Lepisosteus oculatus: one gene and its partner. The protein of the gene in region 2 interacts with the protein of the main gene of each other region in a pairwise test. Links are inferred from orthologs where the notes say so. Each region holds a gene or a part of one and is shown on either strand. Other genes may lie near its edges.

Region 1 (11,320 bases), on a different chromosome or scaffold from region 2:
CGCGAGCAGGCCTTTCGCTTCCTACTCTACATCACATCACCTCCCCTTGACCATGACGGGTGAAAGCCAGGGGGGAACCTGGCCAGGACACCAAGGTTAGCACCCCCTGCTCTTTCCGAGATGCGCCCGGGGATTTCTAATGACCATGGAGAGTCAGGACCCCTCCGGGACAAGACAAGGCCGCCCCACCAGCTCAGGCTGTCGGCGGCAGACAACAGGAGCTGGCTGTCTTACCTGCAGCCTGGAAGCCCTGAGTCTTCAGCTTCAGGGTTTTGGCGTGCACCTTGCCCTGGTAGTGGGACTCGGCCATGACGGGCGACGAGAACGTCATGTTGCAGATGGAGCACGCCTTGTTGCGATCCACCACCCCGTTGCTGCCTGCCTGAGGAAGGAACAGGAAACACTAAAGTCAATGAATGGAGCGAAGGAGCCTCCCCTGACCTAAGTCCCAGCCTGTGAGAAGATGGGATGAAAGCAGCCTGTCTGAGGAAAAGTCTCTTCCCCGTTCCTTAACTTGAACAGGGAAGATCGCTCATGCTCCTGTTGGTTGATGACTCCCACCCGCTGAAAGCCCAGGTTGTAGAAACGATCTGGCCAGCTGGCCTGGCTGCTTCTTTAATGTTGACGCTTCATTGGGCGCCTCTCCTGCTGTCCCTGGATCCTCAGCCTGGACTCGCCGTGCTCCACGCTGCCAACAGGGGACAGAGGAGTCTGGCACTGCTGCTACTAACACGGCCACGGCCCTGTTTCGTGGGGGCTCCACTGTAGTCGTTTACTTCATTTCTGGGTGCCTTGAGTAGAAATGTGCAGGGGATGGACCAGGGGATTAATTTGTTCATAGAAAACATTTTTACTTGCAAAACACATGACTGCAGTGCGTTCCCAGCTCTAGTGCAAGGAGACTTCTCACAATTTCTTCTTGTATTGCCAAATGAGCAGTCTTGTTATGAAATGGGGAACAGATTAAACACTCACGTTCTCTCCGAAGCAAAAAAGAAAGTTCATCTGAGTACTCATTTGGAACAAAAACATTCAGAAACTCACTTGCTATCCGTTATGTAACAGAATTACTCATATAACTAACTGATTTACAATGGCAGCAAGGACAAGAGACTCACCACATTACACAAACAGGAGGTACTCCAACACCGGAGGCCAACAAAAATAAGTAAACCCCAATGACACTATTTTATTTCAGTGAGGTTAAAATTTGCTTAAGATTGAACCACTGTTTTGGTGCTTACTATTCAGCTTGACTTTAATGTGCCATTTTAAACCACCCCTGCCTGCTCCCCTGATCAGGGCTCATGAACTTATTGTTGTTATCCTGCTCTTCAAAGAAACACTGCTTCATGCTTACGTTGTCAGATGAGTGGCCTTTGAACCTTTTCAACGATGGTTCCTCATCCTGGTGGATACTCATGTATCGGCGTACTTTATTTGCATGTTTTTTACTCTGTAAAAGTGAAAAAAAACAACAACATTTAACTATTAAACATCAGCAGCAATCCAGAATGAAGAATAAAACAGCACTGAATTCCTGATCTGAATGTCTCCCAGAGCTGGGAACCTTTACACTGGTCCAGTCCCTGGATGAAGGCTATGCACAGAGCGGTTGATAATGCCACACAGATGGTCTACAGAACCAAAGAGGCAGAGATGATCCATATACTAGACCATGTACTGCATTGCTCAGCGGGAGTATTTAATAAGCACAGTGCTGCCTCACATTTTGTATTGAACACCCTTTTATCAGAGAGAGCACTGTAACACTTGTCAATAAGCGCATGACTGCAAGAGGAGAGGGATAATATAATATATAGTGCTGCAACTGCCATCAGATCCAGATCGACATCTAAATTTCTGCACCAGTCTTCTTAATCCACTTGTGCAATTTTTTTCCATCTTCTCTCTGCCCCCTGCCCAAGTACCCCCTATCCAGCATCCACATCTCAGGGTGGCCTGGTTTTTAAACTGTAATGAACGCTCCTGGTTCTGTGTCAGCAGTGTGTGGAACGACCGTCTGGAGACGACTTTACAGGCCCACTGACAGTTTTACTGCCCTTTTCATTACAGTGCGATGTGCTAATCATGGAACTGGGAAGGCAGAGATCATTTGCAGGCCAGACGCAGAGGAGGGATTCAGGTTATTTATTTTAGCTAATTACTGTACGTTTGAAATTTGGACTGTTGTTTCTGTTCATTATGGTAATTGACTTAAATATGCGAACGTTCAGAGGTGGGCTTGGCTCTTTGCAATGGTTCTCTACACTGAACCCTTGCAAATGTTGAGATATCCATATCCTTCATATAAATACCAGCTGCCCTCCTCAGCAGCCGTAGTTGCTCCACTTCGTGGTTAGTGTTTTGTACAGTACAGCTTACCGCCTGCTTACGTGTTGTTTATGTAGCATGCTAGGATGTGATGGCAATCTACACAAATACACTGGTATTGCATTAAGTCTGTCTCAAGGCTGCGCTCTCCCACATGCCAGAGGGGGCCGTCCGGACAAAGTGTGCAGCGCAGAGACACAACACAGAAAACAACAGCCAAGTAATCTACCCACCTGGTAATGGGCAAGCTTTTGTGATTCGGAGATGAGAAGGGCGCTGCACACTTTGCACTGCGTGTCAGAGAAGAGGTGACTGTGTTCGCTGATCATCTTGTTCACTGTTGAAGAACACAAACGGGGCACTATTAACACTAGTTCTGGGGCATGCACTGAAGCAAAAGTTAGCTTTATCCAATGTACACTGGAAACTATACATTCCCGTCAACACACATTATCTTCCTAGCAGGTGCTCTTATCCCGGGTGATGTACGGTTCAATAAAATCAACACAATATGTCGATTACATGATAAAGCAGAAAAAAACCACTGAAAGCACTTACAAGCAGCTGGATCCCAAATGCAGAAATCTCTGCAATGTCATTAATCCAGGCACAGTTCAGGCAGTGCCAATACTTGATATTTCTGACATTAGAATGTACTGTAGCTGGACTATCTACCGAGAGTTAGGCAGAGCTCAGTAATCAGCACACTGATGTTTTTTTTCCTCAAACTTGCTTGTCCATCTTTTTTTTTTAAGCTGTATGTTATTTAACTTGTTGCTGCTGCTGCTGTTCTGTGTTTATGTTTTTGGCGATTCCTTTAATGTCTTTGTATTGGAGAACAGGTGCAAATAAGCATTTCATTGCACTTGTGCATATGACAAATAAACTGAACTGAACAAAACTGGACTGAACTAATGCAGAGTGACTTTTTCTGCCAACAAACAGCTGCAAGATTCAGGTGTATTTAGGAGTGAAAATCTGTCGCTAGCACAGGGATCTCAGCCTTGACCCCTGATTCCAGGTCATTACAGCACTTTTGAACTTCCAGTAGGTGCAGCACTGAAAGGACCCTTAACTGCTTAATTAGTCCAGATGCTGAAGGTCAATTAATGAATTAAGAATTAGCCAGAGGAAGGACTTTGGTCACAAAGACTGAACACCCCCATCTAGCAAAACGATTTCTACTCTTGACCTTCGGAATGACACAAACCTCCTTTTTGCAACATGGGAAATATTTAATTAGATCTCTAGAACAGGGGGTCTCAAGCCACAGACCAGGACATCCCCAATGTAGGTCACCCCGAAATGTGAAGAAAGGATATGATTTCATTGTGATCAGTTAAGTGGGTGATTAGTTAAATGGAGTACTTTAGACATTGATCTGGGACCCAAATCTAAGATCTCTTTCTTCATCCTTCATCCTTTATTAGAGTTAATACGCTAATAACACAGAGGTGCAGCCAACCTTTGTTAAGAAGGTGACCTATAAACCTGTCTGGATAAAAACAGGGTTCTGGAGAGCGTAGCAGCTTCCCGGAATGGCCCTGGCTGAGCATATAGTATCTAGGCGGAAGGGCATTTACTCCGAAAAAAAGTTTTCATTCACCGGGAGCGATGTTATTGGCGTCCACTGAGGCATTTTAAGAGTGAAGACCCGCAGCTCGGTTTCCATGTTGACAGTAACGTAAAACATCTCGCCGAGACTGCGGAGGTAGCAGAAGGCATTTGATCGGGAATTTCCGTGCACACTTTATATACCCTCTCCGCGGACAGCATTAACTGTTTTCTGCCTCGCTTCCTCGACCTCGAATGATGCATTTATTTATTTTTTACAGCTTCCATCTCGGAGCACTTATTTCCAAGGCAGTCAGCCGCTGAGCTCCCCGCTTGTGTCCGACTCCTCCGCCTCTAGAGGGGAAACCAGCTTCGCACAAGTCCCCCCGATATCTGCGACACTCCGCTCGACTCCGGGTCCTCGGGTGAAGGCGCTTACCCTCCTCCAGCCCCGACGGCACAGCGGGTAAATCCCCGTTCCGCTCTCCGTCCGCCATGTTTCCCAGAGCCGCCGAGCTGCAGCCTGAGGTCTCTGCTCTCCGGTCGGTGGGGGGCGCTGTGTGCTACCGGTTTAAATGTGGGGGGGGGACTCTTTATATCCCCTTAAGTGTAACAGGTCTGTTCAAATAACGTCTTGATATTTTGAATCGCACGGAACTCACCCCCCCCAGTGCGTTCTGACTTCTGTACTGCGTTTTGACCTCTTGCAAACAGTAATAAACTTATCCATCATTACATACATTGTCGAGGGACTTTTTTGAGCTCCTCTTAAGAAAAGAAGTATGAAAGAATTAATAAAGACGAGAAAACCGGTGTAGTGCACTATTCTGAACAAAACATCCCGATAAACATGCTTGGTTTTCTTCAGGTTAACTGCACCCGGGTAAAATGCCTTCCATTTACATAGTACTTTTAATCCCAAAAGATCCTAGAACTCTTTCTAGAAAGGGGGGAACCCAGTTCCAGCCCTTACTGAAGTCAGCCCCGCCTGGTATGGTGTGGTGGAGGAATGAGAAATGAGTTCAGCCGAAGGACGTAGTTGGGGATCTTAATTTTAACACCCCGTCCTAAGGATGACACCTCTGAGGCGAGGAGCCCCCCTCAGACGGGGGGATAAAGCTTATAACCCAGACCTGGTTCTTCCTCGGCGACCCCCCTCCCAGTACTGGCCAGGCGTACTGAGCGCCTTCGAGCTGGCCAGTCCAGGCTGCTTCAGGTGAGCCTGTCCAGTATTCTTACGTGTTTTATGTCAATTAAACTTCCGTGTCCTACAGAAGACGGTGTCTTTCATATCAGCCGTGATAGTTTGGTTTTTTTGGGGGGGTAACAACACAGCGGTCACAAAATGAAGCGGGCAAAATATATCTGCCAGGCTCACCTGATATTTCCCATTTTGGTTCCACTCTTTTCTGTAGCATTAAACTGAATTATGAAACGTTCACATGAACGAATATGTGTTTCCTTTTAAATTGGTGCTTTTCTAAAGAAATCATGTATGGGTTTTTATTTATAGTTAACGGTGGCTCGGGTGTGGCACAGGGGTTAGTATTGTTGGTTTGCGGCGATGGGACACTGGGTTCAATTCCTGGGGTGAATAGAGCAGGGGAGTTTATTGCCATACTGTATGTACATGAACAGTGGGATTCTTATTCACACTGATCTCTCGGGACGGGTACAGTACAGCACCACACAGTGTAGACAGTACGTAACAAACAGTGATGGTATGTACAGTCAACAAACGGACCAGCACAATAAATACACAGTAGAGAACAAGAAATAGGCGGTAGTGAACACAAATACATGGTAGTTCAAGACAGGAGTGCAGAGGGCAGGGGTGCCCTATCCTCTGAGACAATGCACAGTTAGCGGTTCATGATGCTCGCTGCAGCAGGGTTGAAGCTGTTCTTGAGTCTAAGGGTCAGTTCTTTTGCAGTGCGGTACCGCGGGGGGAGACCAGCTTATGGCTGGGATCCTGTATGACGGACAGGCTTTACAGCGACAGCGGGCGGTGTGGATCTCACCGATTGATGGCCCATCACATCCTATAATCCTCTGGGCCGTTGCCACAACCCTTTGTAGTGCGTCTCTGTCACGCATGGTAGTAGTGCCGTACTGCACGGTGATGCCCCTAGTGAGGACACGTTCTGTTGTGCTGCGGTAAAAGTTCATGAGGAGCTGCTTCCCCAAACCGCATTTTTTTTAGACACTGCTACCTGCATGGAGTTTGTTTGTGGTTTCCACCCACAGCTCAAAGACACACTTGTTTTAAACATAATCGTAGTATTTATTCTGCTTACACCTACAGTCAAGAGTGGTAACTTCTATCTGATCATAAGAACACACATGATAAATGGATCCCCAAGGGCCACACACCCTCACAGAACACACAAACCCTCGTGGACGCCGGTTACCCAAAACCCAGTGTCCCAGATTAGCAGCGATGTCCCGGTGTGCCTCACTGCACCACAGCGAAGAGCTCTCTGCAGCCTTTCAGGGGTTACAGGTTTCAGCTACCTCTTCTGTCCCTGCTGTTCCTTATTTTCCCCAAGTCCACTCTAGGGTAGGAGGGGAGGAAGACGATGGTGGACTCCCCCCCGGTGTCCCAGTTCTCTCCCGTGTCTGGTGGTGCAGTCTGTGTCCCACCAAGTTCTTCCGTTAAAGTCGGTAGGACACCTGACTTCTGTAAAACTGGCCCTGCTGAGAGTGTTTGTGTGTTTGCCCAGTGTGTATCCTGTCTCACTCCTGTATTCAAAATAAAGTCGAAAGAGCAAAAAGAATGTCTTTTGTATGGACAAACCATCAAATGGAGTAATTCGTGGCGAAGATTATCTTTGTTGGAGACGCCATATCCTTTAAAGCCCAAGACATATGAGATTTATCCCTTGTGATTGCAAATAAGATTACTCTCCCAAATTTCAATATTAATAAATTAGCAATAAAACATTGTTGTGTTCTAGATTTCCTCACATCACAAGTTAATATTCGGTCAATGTATTCATAAACCGGAGAAATGTTTCTTAAAATACAACAAAAGCAAACGAGAGCGCTTAGTACCATTCTTAGAAATCATGTTCTGAATTTTGTTTTGATAGCTTTCAGATTTTCAGCGAGTTTTTACAGACTGGAATAACGAGCTCCAAAACAACTAATTCAATATGTTGAGTGAATCAATACAATGTGTTGATATTTATGCATGCCAAAATTACTTAAGCGTAAACATTAACACCTGCTCTTGGTTTGCATTACTGAACAGTTGCAAACGAGAATGCACCCAGCATTCTTTGCGGCTGGGAGATCACGTGAGCGAGGGAAATATGGCGACCTTTGCGAGTCGTCTTACAGTAAGAGGTCTGCTGTCAGTGCAACTGCAATAATTCGTATTTTGCGAGCTGACTAATAAGTGGCACCCACCAGTGCGCCAAGCAACCAAGGCTGAGCAGCCATACTGAGGTTTTCATCTCTCAGTGGGAACCGCACAGATCGTTATTCCAGCCTATTCGGCTATTGTTTCCATACTGTAAAAGCCAGGGTTGTATGTAGTATGCTGACGGTATGCCGCAGAAAAGGCGAATTCGTGCGAGGGAAGCGGACCAAGTGCCCAAGAAGAGACATCTCGCTGAAAACAATGGCGAGTTTGTTGTTGTGTCTGACGCAGAAAGCGAGGTTTGTGCTGGTCCTTGTCCTTCAAAGTGTTTCATCATAGCTAGCAGACGCGGCTTTGAGACGTCTTCAGTTTATTTTTTTTATTCAGTATTGCCCTTCTTATTGGGGGGAGGAAAAAGTCTAAAGGGGCATACCAAAGACCCAGGTGACTAGGCTATACCCACGCATGTTCGGGCGAGGATACTGAGGAATCGAGCGAGATGAGCGAGTCTACGGGTTGAGTTCCGGCTGTCCGCTCTGGGCGCAATTTTTTAAGTGTTGTCGGGAACTGAAACGCATAGGAGCTCTGCATGCCTTTATTTAGTTTTTTACCCCATTCTGTTTTCGACTTGTATAGGGTTTTCCGCCCCATGCCACTAAAAGTGCATTCTTCTCTTAGATAAGTTCCAAAGAAGATCAGCCCTTACCAATCCTGATTTCTGGGACTGTTACATATGGACAGGTTAAAGGAACTACTGTAGATCTCTTGAGTCTAGAACAGGGGTGTGAGCTTCTGATGGAGAAGAAGAATAAAGCAGAAGACATTGCATCCTCCAGGAATTTAGTTAACCACCCCTGTTCTAGAGCAAAGGAGATTAAGAGGAGGTTTGGATCAAGTATCTGAAGTTCAAATAAGTAAAAGCAGAGGACTATATCAGGATCGGAAGTGAAATAAGAATGTGGTGTCACAACTGGAAGCTTTTTCTCTGTCCTAAAATTGATTCAGGTCGGCGGATGGGAAATGCACCTTTATATACAAGGAGTGTCTGGAACAGTCGGTTAGTTGAGGTCAAAATTCTGGTGTACAACAAATTGCCCGATAAAGATTTTAAATTCAGTCATCGATTAAAACATCGAACAAGCCAAGTGGACCTGATGGCCTCCTTTCGTTTGCCACTTTTCGTATGTTTACGATGCAGTGATCTCTTGTAGTTTGAAACAGCAGCTTTGGTGATGAAATGTGCTGCACCTTTGTGTCCTTACCTACAGAAACAGCATGACGTTCTCCTGTCAAGGGAAGACAGGCTGCAGGCACGACAGCAGAGCGGACAGGCTCGAGGTAGGTTTTTAATTATTAAGTGTTCTTTCTATTTATCTTTCTTTTCTATTTATCTTTTATTGGTCTTATTTTATTATGACTTTCCTAATTTTTATTTATGTAATTTTCAAGCATAAATTGACATTAATGTTGCTTTACTGTATTACTGTTTTCCTTTACAACTGAAAGTATATCTCTTATTTTTAAGATTTTATTTTTACGCTTGGTTTGTAAAGCACTTTGATCTGCTATTTGTATGAAATGTGCTCTATAAATAGTTGTTGTTGTTGTTGTTGTTGTTATTATTGTTATTATTATTATTCTGTCACATTAAGTGCCTCCTAAAGCAGGAGTAGTGCTCTTCCCCACGGGCTCCAGTGCATTTCATGTACGTATGACAGGCTTCTGCACGACCCCCTTGTGTGCAGAAGGTGTTGGGTGATGTTTAGTCATTTTGTCTAGGTCAGGTGCTCTCAGTCCTGAACCTGTAGGTTGGACCCATAACTTACCTTAATTTGAACTGTTTAATTGTTTTCATTCTGAAAGGTTGCCTTAACAATTGAGATTTGTGCAGGTTTGTTTCCCGCAGCCGGCAGAGGAATCCTACTCCGTTGGGCCCCTGAGCAAGGCCCTTAACCCCAACTGCTCCAGGGGCGCTTTATAAATGACTGACCCTGCGCTCTGACCCCCAGCTTCTCTCCCTGTCTGTGTCTCATGGAGAGTTGCTGGACAAGGCATCTCAATGATATTTTTTTGTGACAGAAGGCACGGTAATGGTTAGTAATGTAGAAAATACGATACTATATCCATGATTAATTAACAGTTTCGGACTTCTTAACGGTGAAGATATTATGATTGTTAATTGCCTTCTAAGGGGAGGTACAGTGTACTTTAAACAATAAAAATTAGTCGTGCCACCAAAAGAGGAAAGTTAGCGAGGGGGGCCTTTCTTTCTGTGGGACATGGAAAATGACCTTGAGAGTCGTACTTTGTCCCTCCCTCCTCCTACCCAAACCCTGTACTAGGCCGCTTAGCAACCTAACGGGGAGACAGGCCTGTCCCTTGAGTCATGGAGATGCTCTTGTTCTTCAGAGATGACAGAAGACGAAATGGTGAGCCTGGCCATGCGAATGAGCGAACAGGAAGCCAGGCGGACCAAGCAGCGGGACAAGGAGGAGGACGAAGCCGTGAGGAGGGCAATAGTGGAGAGTCTACATGTACTTCATGTGTTTATTCTAAGAGCTGTCCCGTGCATGCTGAATGGAAGTGTGACGCGTGGGGAGAAGCCAAAGCTCAGGGATTTCCTTCATGCTGCTGGATGTGTGTGTGTGTGTGGGGGGGTGGTGGGAAATTCCATACAGAAACGTCCTTTTCTCGAGGGTTTTGTCCAATACGTAGGTCTGTACTCATGCAAAGACTTCTCGCAGTCTCGCTCTCGTAGTGCAGCCCTTCCCTTTAAGTACGACTAGAATTACTAGTAGGTAACGTGTTTCTAATCATAAACTCTGTTCTGAGCCCCAGCACCTTCTGGGAATTGTAGTCTTCAGACTACAGAGGGGAAATACACTATGCTGTATTCAGGGTCTGATCTATTAATCCTGTATACCTCTACCCTGACACTATCACAAGCACGTGTGCCACTCTCATTCACTAGTTTTGTTTAGCTGTAGATTCAATTAAAACTTCCAGCAGCCTGTTGCAAATTATGTACAGTACGTAGTGCTTTTGTTTTCACAGGTGCTTTATGTTCCCTCTAAACATGAGTTTAGATTTTTTGTAAAGTTGAGGGCATTGGCGACGCAGTTTATTTCACTAATTTCTAACAGTGTAATCAAATAAAGTATTAGGATGCACATAAATCTGTCTGCGATTTGTTTATGTTTTAATGAGTTAACGTTTCTGGTATTTCAGGAAAGCAGCAGATGTGATGATCCCGACCAGACCAGCTCGTTTGAAGAGCGAGAAGAGTTTGCTGCCCAGAAAACAGTAAGTAAAAGGAAAGAGAACTCCCGTCATGAGCCCTGTCGCAGGAGTGAGAGCCAGTCAGATCCTGGGTTCCGCTCGGGAAAGAGCACTTTGGGTCGAACTCCTGTCCTCCTCCTGAAGAAACTGAGCCCAGATGTGTTGCATAGTTGCCAGGAGTCAGGGTGTGTCATCTTCTCTCAACGCTTCCCGGTAATGCCAACACCTAGCCAAGCTTCTGGACCTCCTCCTCCTTTGACCTGGAGCCCTGCGGTCCCCGAAAGGTCACTTCAGTGTCCGAGGTGGAAGCTTGTGCTCCCAGTCTGGGAAAGGGCTGAAGGGGAGGGAGCCAGGAGTGGTGGGATCTTTCCAGTGACGCCGGTTTGCACCATCGAGAGATTGAGACAGGGCAGCTTGCAGTCCCACTCCCCGTTCATAGAGAGCACAGGGTCCGATCTGTGGTCCAAGAAGGTCAGTACAGGTTTCTGCAGTGTAATATTGTCATTGACTGTGGGTTGTGTCATTGTTTGGACATTTCCTTTCTAAGTGGACATAATGTAAACATTTAGGGGAGTAAGAAATTCCAGTGCAGTCCTAAACAATGTGGAGTATAGCAAATAGATGTTGTCTGTATATGTTCGTGCAGTCATAAATGTAGAATGGGCAGCCTCCACAGATACAGACCAGATTTTCAATACCCTGCTCTTGAACAATGGAGGCATGTCAGATAGCATGGTGTGGCTGTAAATAATTAGTTCAATCTGTGAATGCAGGGTATGTGATTCTTTC
Region 2 (10,946 bases):
GCTAAAGATCGAAAGGAAAACCCCCAGACTCGGTAGAGGGAGGAGGCGTGAGAAGGGATCCCCCCTCCGCTCCAAGAACAAAGAAGTGAAAGAGAGCTGCCACCCCCAGATCTGGGAAAGAACCCTGAACTTCTGAGGTGTTAAAACACGCCAACGTTACAGCTGCGAACAACAATGAATAGGGACATATTTTCAGTTCATACTTTTAGATTCTTAAAAGTATCTAAAAAGCATGTCGCCTTGTGTGTGTGTGTGTGTGTGTTTCATTAAATTTAAAATGAATAAAGGAGCAAAATTTGCCAGGTCTCAAGCATGTTTGCAATGTAAGGGGGTCACTGGACGTTTTGTTGCATCGCACACAATGACAGCGGTATGGCACTACATATACATTGCAACTCCGACTCTAGACTGGAGGTCGTACAGGGTACCGTGTACATCGTAGTGTCACTGTGGTGTGAAATGCACTCATCACTGCCGATTCATTATACAAAGAGCATTTGTTCCCCTTTCATCATAGCTTCAACAGATTGGCCAGGTATGTTTTAAAATGTTAGAGTCAGTGCCTTCACAAATTCCCCACGGCAGAGCTGTTCAGTATCCGCTGTGTGGGTGGGTAGGTGGATCGGTAGATGAGCTCAGGGTCAGCAGGAGAGAGCAGTGGCGTTAGCAGGATGGGGCAGGGGGTCCCCGTTGTTCTTACCGATCTCCACAAACCTCTCCACCCGGCAGGTCATGGTGAATTCCTTCCGGTGCGCCGGGCCGGATTCCTGCGTCACGGTGTACTCCGGCAGCCGCCACCCCTTCTGGACCACCAGCTCCTACAGGAAGGGGGAAGCAGGAACAAGATGGAGGAGTCACAGCATCGCCAGGGCTGGTTTCCGTCTCCAGGGCGCCCCGTGTCAGACGGCATATCGCAAAGCCCAGAACACAGCAAAATACCTCAAGTATACAACATTTTTATTCCATTATTCACTTCCTGAAACCCAAAAGGAAAACAATTCCGTAAAACACTCTGTTCAACACTGTTTCGGTTGGGCAAACACTAGCAAAGAAAGCTGCTCTATCCTTAGGAGACTGCAGCCTGGAGCTCTAAGATCTCTATATAATGTGAATGGGATCCCACATGGGAAAGTTGCTCAGTAACGAATTTTGACTTCCTTTGCCATGGGTGAGGCAGGTAGCCATAGGCCTCCCATTCTCCCTTTCTAAATTCCCCTGTAGTATCCCATTTTAAGGCTGCCAGCCAGAGCAAGCCCTTCTACTGGTGTCCAAGCCAGTTTAGCATACCTGCAAAGCACCCACGGGATTGCACTCTGCCTGCTGCACGGAGTTGGAGACCTTTGCCTCAGACTGGGAGCTGGGATAGGAAGAAACACACCAAGTTCAAGTCAACGAACTGCTCACGATCGCACCCTTCGCTGGGGGCCACCAACCCAGGTCTGAGCCGAAAATAACTACTCAGCCTTTAACTACAGGGGAAAACGGAAAAACACCCTCTTTGTCAACTCCCTGCTATACCAGAGTAGGAGTAGTCCTGGGTCCAAATGCAGGTGTTCAGGCAGATTTAAGATTCGGGATTCACTCCCATTCCATGTTTATGAAGAATGGCACCAGGTCCAAGTACAACTCATGTAAACAGGTGGAAGCCGACAGAGGGACCATAAAAAAGGTGAATCTTGACTAATTGGAGGAGGGTATACTATTTGTAAACACTACCTGAAACCAAGTCTATGGAAATAAAAAGCATGCAAAATCACTGCCTGAAGAAATGATAACAGTGGACATTGCAGACTAAGATGACACTTTTATTATGAGTAACAGAGGCACCGGACACACCCACCTGATTCCATCAGCTGATATCTCCATCATGGTGCCGCCCTTCAGGAGTTTGAGTGCTGCCTCTGCTGCCTTGTGCTTGGCTGCCTTCTTGCTAGGCCCCTGACCTGCAACACAGACCCAGGACAGCTTTCAGCAGGACTTCCCAAGGCGAGTTTCAAGAGCAGCTCTCACAGCTCTCCTTAAATCAGGATCTACAAGCCCTGGCCCTGGACACACCCACCGCTGCTGATTCAAGTTCCAGCTGATCTCTCAAGTCAGGTAATTGAACTCTTAATTTACCTATTAATAGGACTACATTTCAGAGGGGACCTTTAAACCGCTGCATTCAATTAATAAGTTATGATTGCCAACTTTTAGTATACAGAAACGTGCAAAAGTTTGCAAGCAATGTGTTAGGTCAACTAAGTCAAGAGCTTGGCTGGAACCAGCACTGTTATTATATTGATTAGTTTGTAAGATCTTTTAAAATTGCCTGCTAAGTCAGGCCTGTGCAGGAAGGTCTCCTTAATTGAGTCAGTAATTGAGTCAATCCTCCTGGAAAAAAAAGCAAAGTTTAATCCATATCGATAAAATTAAATAAGCTGTTCTTCTGGAATGCCTCTGGCTAAAGGCAAATCCCAAAGGCAGACACAGGCAAAATCTCACCCCCAGTTCCTGCTGGCTCTCTTTTATATCTCAATCTACAGTTTCAAAGTTGAAGTTTGTCTTAAAATTAGGATCACAGATCGTGGATCACGGAGTCCCTGTTTTCTCAGAGGACAGGGCTGCAGTACTGATGACATCGCCCGTCGAAACGCACCAGGGAAATCCGGGCGCAGACTCGCGGCCTGCCCGGCGACCCACCTGTGCAGCTGATGTCACCCACGGTCACGCGGAAGGTGAAGTTGGGCTGGTGTGCTTGTCCCTCAGCCTTGAGCAGATCGTACACCGGGGTCTTCCCTATCCTCGTTCCATACTCCTGCAGCAAACTGATAGGGGTCTTTCCGGGGTTCAAAGCCAGCATTTGCTCAATACTGATGAGGGGGAATGAAACAAAAAAGTCTTGTTTGAAAAGACTAGATCAATACAGGCATTCCTCCTAGTAGACACTCTGACAAATTGAGTGAGGAAACAGCTATTGTATCCTCGGCAACTGGGTTAATTAAGCAACTGATGTTCAGTGAAGTAATTAATTAAAATTAAGTAATTAATACCAATAATGCCTACTTTTTCTAGGATATATGCTAGTACGGGGCTTCCCAATCCTATTCCTGGGATCCCACAGACATATGTTTTTATGGCAGCCGAGATCTTTCATTGAATCAACAAATTGCTTGGTCAGAACCTTTGAAAGTTTCTTCTCAAAGACTGGAGATCCTAGTTACTTAAGAACTACAACCAAGTTAAAAGACAGCCTCCTACATCAGTGTCTGCAAGTGTCTGTTCCAGGTTTCTTTAATGCAGCGGTACTTGAGAAGCTGTTAAACTGATCGAGTTGATCCATGTGTTTATTTACATTGTCAAAAGCTGCCCTCCGGTTCCTGCACCGGACACCCCTGTCCTCCATGTTTAGGAACTGAAAACGATTGAAGAGTTTGAATTCAAACCTATTAAGGGAACAATCGTGTAATTATGCGCTCAGATGGCGCACAAACCAGCGGGGATGTGAATCCCTTAGTACCAGAATTGGGAACACCTGGGCCAACATCCCTAAATTGCCCCCCGCGGATAGATATTGGAGAGGTAGCTGGAGAGATAAAAGAAGGACTCGACAGGGGAAGAAAGCAGAAACAGAGTGATGGGTCAGGATTTCGAGGTGTCGGAATAGCAGCTGACTATCGGTCTCGAGCAGAAATGCATCCGAATTCTCAACATTGTGAAGAAGTGCGTTCAAGGGAGAAACGCGGTCGTTTTATTAAGATGTGTGCGAGCAAACCGGTAACGGTACCCCTTTTAAAGACATATCAGCCGGAGGAAAGAACGAAGAATTTCATAACCCAAATGTTTATTGGGACTGTAACAAAACGCGTAGCAAACGACCGCGTCAAGGTAACGGATAAAAGCAAGTTACTCAGCCATGTTTGCGTTACAATTTAGTGCATAATTTCGTATTAAAAACGAAACAAGCCTTTGTTGTAGAATCCTGTTTTCTGCTAAGGGGGAAATAAGTGGATACTAAACGAATATATTTTAACAGGGAAATCCCACACACCGTTCATTCTTTCGCACGCGAAAGGCACGATTCTCTGCAACTTGCCCCCCGGTAGTGCTCGGGGCTTACCTTGGGCACCCAGAGTTTCTCTTGCAATTAGCCGGGGTTTTCTCGTCGCTCATTCCCCGTTTACGGAACGAAAACGTGATAATTTCGGATTCCGGACACCCCCCTTTGAACAAATTAACCGGTGTTTTTCATTCACAGCCTCTTCAGCAGCAACATACAACCGCTCTTGAGCGCAGCAGCCGGCTCCCATATCCGGGCCTGAGCAGCTGCATTCTGGGAAATGTAGTTTTTTTTCAACAAGGGTAAAAAAAATGCAAAACGTTTACATGCGATAGCGTGTGCCAGTGAGATGCAAACCGGAAGGGAATCTGGAGCTATGCTGTACATATGTGCACGGTCAATTTCAGAGCACGTGCGCGAATCCGTAATTTAGGACTAAGGTAAAATTCCCGTGCGGCATGCAAGCCTCTCTAGATTTGGACGCATGTATTAATTCATGCTCCACGCATCACGTTTCCAAACCTGAAATCATATGTTCAACGTATTTGGGTACATTGGCAATTATCTCAGCGTGTCGGTTGAGGGTGGAATCGAGCGAGCACTTAATACTATCAGTACGTGCCAATAGCGTCTTCTCCCTTGAAGAACCACCCAACTAAAGTTTGTTACTGCTCATCTCAAGAACTGGCTATAACTAAGGACTACAATTCCCAGCAAACCCTACTCGTGTCGCCTCTGAGCTGCGATTGGCTGGTGGGTCTTATTAGTACGTTATTAGTCACCCTAGTCGCTCCGTCGTAGCGGGAGGGGGTGGTGTGAATGAGTTTCGGCCAATCGGCAGCTTTCTGTTCCAGTTTACTCCGTTCTGATTGGGCAAAGCCAGGCCAATGCAGTGTATCGCTCGCACCGGTTCGCTCCTCCGTCGCCGACTGGTCGGTGGGTTTTATCGTTGTCGCCGGGCTATGGAGGGGGTTTTGCACAAGTGGACAAACTACTTATCGGGTGATTCATTATTAATTAATAAGTAGCTCGAAACCGCTCGAAAAAGTATTAAATCTTAGCGTGCTGTCTTATTAGTGAAAGACTGTCAGGTGAAGGCGAGTCTTGAGGCGATGCTGTCAGTCTTAACAAGTTTTGTCGGTTCATTCGGCCAAAAGCATCTTTGTAAACGTAGCATAGCTGTTCGGTAGCAGACTGAATTTAACATTCATGTGCGTGCGCACTTGTGAGCCGTACTAAAACTCTTAGATATTTTTACATCGTTTTCTGGTTTAGGTTTTGTTTCGCTTATTTCAAATGTCTGCGCATTCTAACTTCAGCTGTAACAAAGTTATAGTTAACGGCGAACTTCTTTTTGTTTTTTTGTTTTCCGTGAACATAACGTATAACGGCCATCCACTTCATGGAGGCTTCGATCGAGTCATATTTCCAAGCCACTGAGTCGCACCTTCACTGTATTTCAGAGGAATCTCCTAATTTTTTCATCTAGCTTCCTTCTGGATGCGTCACGGGTTTGTGAAGGGGGAAGAAAAGTTTAATCTCTCCTGCGTTAAACCGAAGCGTTTTAAATGTAAAAAAAAAACTAACACGAGCGTTGAATTTGTTTTACTTATGCTTTCTTTTAAAAAATGACGCTTTTAAGTTTTTTTTCCTCCCTTTTTAGTGCGTAAAAGTGCTTGATTTGTTGTTTTTAAAGAGCTCTTTGATATCAGCTTCTCAGTACAGTAGATACAGTATCCGTACGCCGGTGAGCTACTGCTTCACACTTGGAAAATTTGAAGGTTGACTGTTATTGGTCAGTGCTTTAACTTAGACTTGGTTAAACTGGAAAGGGTTCGCGTTTGTGTTGCAGAACGGGGAAAAAAACAACCTCCACTTAACTGTAAGTGATCATGACCTTCATGACAGTTGCTGCTGCTCAATAAGTTGCTTCCCCAGGTTGTAGTGAACGGCTAGCGGGTCGTCTCGTCGGCACAACGCTACGGGACCTGGGTAGCTTTCAGAGCCGGAGTGTGTCCCAGCTCCTCTCGTGTTGCTTCTAATAGTCGTTCAAAATAATTCAGCTGGAGGTTCGGTTATTAAAACCCATCGGACTAGTAACTGTAGAACAAGTGGCCTCCATCAGTGTCCCACCCACCTCTCTCATGTCATGTTAATTCTGATGTCTTTGATCTTTATCCCGAGTTCAATATCTGCTGTGGTCCAGAGTCTGGCCCCGTTTCTCAATCCCAATCCTTTTCTCCCTCTCTTGCCTCTGCGGGGTGAAGGGTGGCAGCCCCGCTACTTCGTCCTGGACGGGACAATCCTGTCCTACTACGACTCCCTGGAGGACGTGGGGAAGGGCAGCAAGGGGAGCATCAAGATGGCGGTGTGTGAGATTAAAGGTAGGTGGCGCTGCCGCACCCTTCTTGATGGACACACCGTGGGCCACTTTCCCTTGCGGGAAGAGCATTGTTTCGAGATGGGGGGGATCGGATCTGCTCGACCTTGTGACCCCTGGCTGGGCCCACGATTCCTTTCTCAAAGCTCCCTTTCCTTCGTGGTTTGCTGGACTCATAAGAAAGGGTTTAATATGACTGGCAGGGCATTGGCTGCTGGTGGCCTACTGCTGCTTTTTTATTGCTTGCCTCTGTGGCTGCAGGTAAACCATAAAGGTAGCATTTTAGCACGTGGGTCTGCTACAGCAGATAAGAATTGATCGGCAGTACAGTAATGTGCAGACCTGCAGCCCTTTGGTGGTGATGGTGCTGTTCACAAGCAGAGAAAATGTCTTGAAATATCCATAGCGTTACTGATTCATTTAATAATAATTCCTTGCGCTTATGGAATGCTTTTTGGACACTCCACTCGAGGTGCTTTTTAGGCAATAGGGACTCCCCTCCGACACCACTAATGTTCAGCATCCACCTGGATGATGTGTCAGTACTCTCACTGCACATCAGCTATCAGTGGGGAGGAGAACAGAGCGATGAAGGCAGTTCAGAGATGGGGATTATTGGGAGGCCATGATTGGTGAAGGCCAAGGAGAAATTTTGGCCAGGGCACTGGGGTAAAACCCCTACTCTTTTCAAGATGTGCTCTGGGATTTTTAATGACCACAGAGTGTACATACCTTGGATCTATGTCTCATATGAAGTTTACAGTATAGTCTCCCCATCACTGCACTGGGGCATTAGGACCCATATAGACTGTAGGGTGTTCGCCCTCTACTGGTTTTACTAACACATCTGATCAGCTGATGTGTGGTGAGCGTTCTGGCGCACTATGGCTGCCGTCCCATCATCCAGGTGGGGCTGCACATTGGTTGTGGTGTAGGGGAGTCCCCATTACCTGTAAAGCGCTTTGACTGGAGTGTCCAGAAAAGTGCTTTATAAGTGTAAGCTATTATTATTATTATTATTATTATTATTATTATTATTATTATTATTATTGCAGCAACCTTAGCTTTCCCAGGAGGTCTCCCATCCAGGTACTGAAGAGGCTCGAACCTGCTGAGCTCCAGTGGGCTGCCAGTTGTGGGGTGATAGAGCTGCTGGCTACATTCAGGCTACAACAAAATGCTTGCAGAAAATGCTCTGAAAGTTAGGAAGAGCAAGGCGATTGGATCATAGAACTGGAGGGATAGCTCAATATATTGCATGGCTTTTTCTTATCGACCCCCTCCAGCCCCCTCCCTGGTTTTCAGTGTACTTGATTGTTAGCAAAGAAGGGGATCTTGTAGAGGGCTTACATTGCCAGTGGCTTCACACTAGTGCAGGAGGCTTACTTATGGACCAATTGAGTCTTTATTAAGTGAATTTAACCCTTCTGTCGCTGCTGAGGTGAGGAGACCTGCAAGTGCTGCTGAACTGCCCCCGGCGACCCTCTAGGAGCAGAGCTGATCATGTAGGAGTCAGGCGCAGGTCTCTGCCAGCGTTTCTGCCAATAGCTTCAGGACGTGGCTGCGATTTAAGGCCAGGGTCCCGTGTTTCTCTCCAGTGCACCCGACGGACGGCACGCGGGTGGACCTGGTGATCCCCGGGGAGCAGTGCTTCTATCTGCGGGCCCTGACAGCGGGCGAGAGGCAGAGGTGGCTGGTCGCCCTTGGCACCGCCAAGGCCTGCCTGGCGGACAGCCGGACAAAGAAGGAGAAAGGCAAGGTCACGGGGGAACCGCAGCCCGGTGGCGCAGCCCGGGGTATTCGAGCGCCACAGCCGAGGGAGTCGGGCAGAGCTCGGCCACCTGCACTCTTCCTTTCAGCTCCAGCGCAAGTCTGTGTCTCAGCTCCTCCGTAATTATTACAGCGACCTTCTGCACTTGGGTAAATTAACCAGTCAATGGGCTGGAAATACCAAAATCCTGTATTGTGGACTGAGTTAGGCGATGGGATGCTTTGTGATGGGGCACACAGAGCTGAGATGGGTCAGAAGAATAGTCAGAGAGGCCATTTGCCCCATCTAGCTCAGCTGCATACCTTTCCCATTCGGAACATTTCCCCAGGGATCTCATCCAGCTGTCTCTTGAATAAAGAGCCAGGGTATGTCCTTGTCAGTGTGGCTGGCCAGCTTTTGGCCTGCTGTGCAAAGGAAAACCTCCTGCTCTTGGTTTTAAATGTGCTTCCTTACATACTGTACACTAGTGTGCACTGGTGTCCGGTGCCTAATCCGCAATGGCTCATTATCAGAGGTGCCAGGCCAGGAGTGAGGCCTCCGATCGGAGCTGATGAGCTTGTGGGAAGCCGCGTGGGGGGACGGCTTCGTCTCTGGGAGGAGAAAAGATATCTGTGGGGAGGCAGTATTGGTTGTGCCAGTGGGATACAGGGAGGCGGTGTGGAGGGCCGCCAACTTCACAGCAGGAGGCAGTGGGCTCCTCTGAGCCGCGTGTGAAGCCTGAGTCAGTGTCTTCCCTGCGCAGAGCTGAACGAGGCCAGCCAGAGCTTGAAGGGGAAGATGTCCGAGCTGCGGCTGTACTGTGATCTGCTGATGGAGCAGGTCCACAAGATCGAGCACTCTGTCCAGCCTGGGGAGGGAGGCACGCTGCCAGACACACAGGTATCTTGCCAGCGCCACTCGCCCTTCCCAATTTGCCTTGCATTGCTTTATAACCCAGGAGTGGCGCTGTCTTTAAAAAGCCCAGCTGCTGATCAGCAATGACCTGATGATAAGAGCTCTAGTAGCACCTACTACTGATCCGTGCCAGAGGAAAGACTCATGGCGTGGATTCAGTTTAAGAAAGCTCTGCCACAAATTGTAGAACAAGTTGAAAGTGGGGGGAAAAAACCTGAAAAGCAAATTGATTGCCGCTGTGTTTTTGTCTTTATCTAACTCCATGTTGCTCACTATCAAAACCACAAAAACAAATCCCCATGTTAGGTTTAAGTCAGGGGCAGGGAGAAGAGACGGGGCTCTCGCAGTCTGATGGTATTGACCCGTGAGTCTCGGCTCTGGCCAGGACTCTGTGATGAGGGGAGTGGCATTGCTCAACAGCCTGGCCAGTCCTGGAGGGGCCAGGAGGCTTCTGCTTTTCTTTCCACTTCAGAACTTGATCAACTCATTGAACCGATTTGCTGCACTGGACCGAAGTTGTTCAGACACTGGAGATTTAAAGACACCAGCAAAACCTGTTGGACTGCAGCCCCTGAGGAGCCGAGTCGAGCTGCTCTTTAAGGAAGGAAGGCGTGACAGGCAACAGGGTCTCTTTTAATAAGTATTTTTGTTTTAAACCAACAAAAACATTCTGCGTCCGATACCCATTAAAGTAATGTTACAGAACACGTACATTTCAGGTGTGTTGTGTTACCTGTGAAGGATGAAAAGGTAAAATGCAAAACTTGCAATCCCCTTCCAGGTCCCTCATCAATGTCCCCTCAAAAAAAAAAAAGAAGTCAAACTAGGGGAAGGAAAGTTAATTTTGCTAAAACGGTGGCACTGTGGCTAAGGATCTGCGCCTGTGGCTCGAAGGTTGCCGGTTCAAATCCCGCAGCCGGCAGAGGAATCCTACTCTGCTGGGCCCCTGAGCAAGGCCCTTAACCCCAACTGTTCCAGGGGTGCTGTACAATGGCTGACCCTGCACTCTGACCCCAAGCTTCTCTGTGTCTCAGGGAGAGCAAGCTGGGGCATGCGAAAAGACAAATTCCTAATGCAAGAAATAGTATATTCTTGTTTATAATATGCCAATATTCGAATGTGGCTAATAAAGTGATCTTATCTAAGGCTCTAGAAAGCATAAAGAAGAGTGGCAGGCCAGTCCTATCAGCTCTACCGGGCCACTCCTGTGTACCACTGAGGGCGAGCCTGGGAGAGAGGGGGAGGACAATGGCTGTGATATCAGCTTGCGTTAGATAATGGAGCTGTGAGCCAGCACCATGTCACCCCTCTGACATTCCTGAAGAAGGAGACGACTTTCTTCGACCCCCTTCCTTTCTCGCGCCGCGATTGTGGCATTGTTTTGTAGAGGCGTCATGTGGTTTCGCATTTCCCTCTCTCTCGTAAAGGCACTTAAATGTTTTTCCTCAGCTGGGCCGAGGCCATCATGAAAAGAATAGTTCTGTGGAACTTGATAGGCCCTGGGTAAATACTGTAACTGACAGCGCAGGCCTCCGGGCGTCCTGTGGCAGGACTTGGGCACGCACACTGCTGTGGCTGGGCTTGGGCGGACACAACGAAAGTCACTCCTTGTTCCCACATGCAGTGACACTCTCTGTTAAGTGGGTGGGGGTCCTGCACTGCTTATATGGGAAGGCCTGTCAAGTTGATTAACGCTAAAGGACATTGATCTAAAGGAAATGTACAAATATATGCTAACATGGGTCTCTGTTCTTTCTTTCTATGTAGTTTGTGTGTGTGTCCAATGGCCAAAATATTAGGAACCCACAGTCGAACAAGGGACTGGTCTTCGGCAGAAAGAACTGGTGTGTGTCGGAAAGGAA

The links.
Region 1: the proteins of tarbp2 (region 2) and znf346 interact in binary tests that used the Homo sapiens proteins (3 or more experiments, as listed by UniProt). The two-hybrid records come from large-scale screens. The link is inferred for Lepisosteus oculatus from reciprocal best matches to the Homo sapiens genes TARBP2 and ZNF346.

Annotation. Positions count from the first base shown.
Region 1 is NC_090706.1:39,912,037-39,923,356, forward strand, and holds the start of znf346 (zinc finger protein 346), read right to left. Parts: upstream 4,407-11,320; 5' UTR 4,386-4,406; coding exon 4,328-4,385; intron 4,026-4,327; exon of another isoform or gene 3,941-4,025; intron 2,672-3,940; coding exon 2,568-2,671; intron 1,457-2,567; coding exon 1,361-1,456; intron 383-1,360; coding exon 235-382; intron 1-234. Other genes in the region: uimc1 (BRCA1-A complex subunit RAP80), read left to right, coding at 7,441-7,551, 8,521-8,590, 9,662-9,786, 10,481-10,555.
Region 2 is NC_090696.1:17,890,353-17,901,298, reverse strand, and holds the start of tarbp2 (RISC-loading complex subunit tarbp2), read right to left. Parts: upstream 4,323-10,946; 5' UTR 4,153-4,322; coding exon 4,100-4,152; intron 3,703-4,099; exon of another isoform or gene 3,604-3,702; intron 2,853-3,603; coding exon 2,683-2,852; intron 1,944-2,682; coding exon 1,841-1,943; intron 1,358-1,840; coding exon 1,288-1,357; intron 819-1,287; coding exon 701-818; intron 1-700. Other genes in the region: pleckstrin homology domain-containing family A member 3-like, read left to right, coding at 4,927-4,975, 6,307-6,423, 8,018-8,173, 8,933-9,069. UniProt on the Homo sapiens protein: Required for formation of the RNA induced silencing complex (RISC). Component of the RISC loading complex (RLC), also known as the micro-RNA (miRNA) loading complex (miRLC), which is composed of DICER1, AGO2 and TARBP2.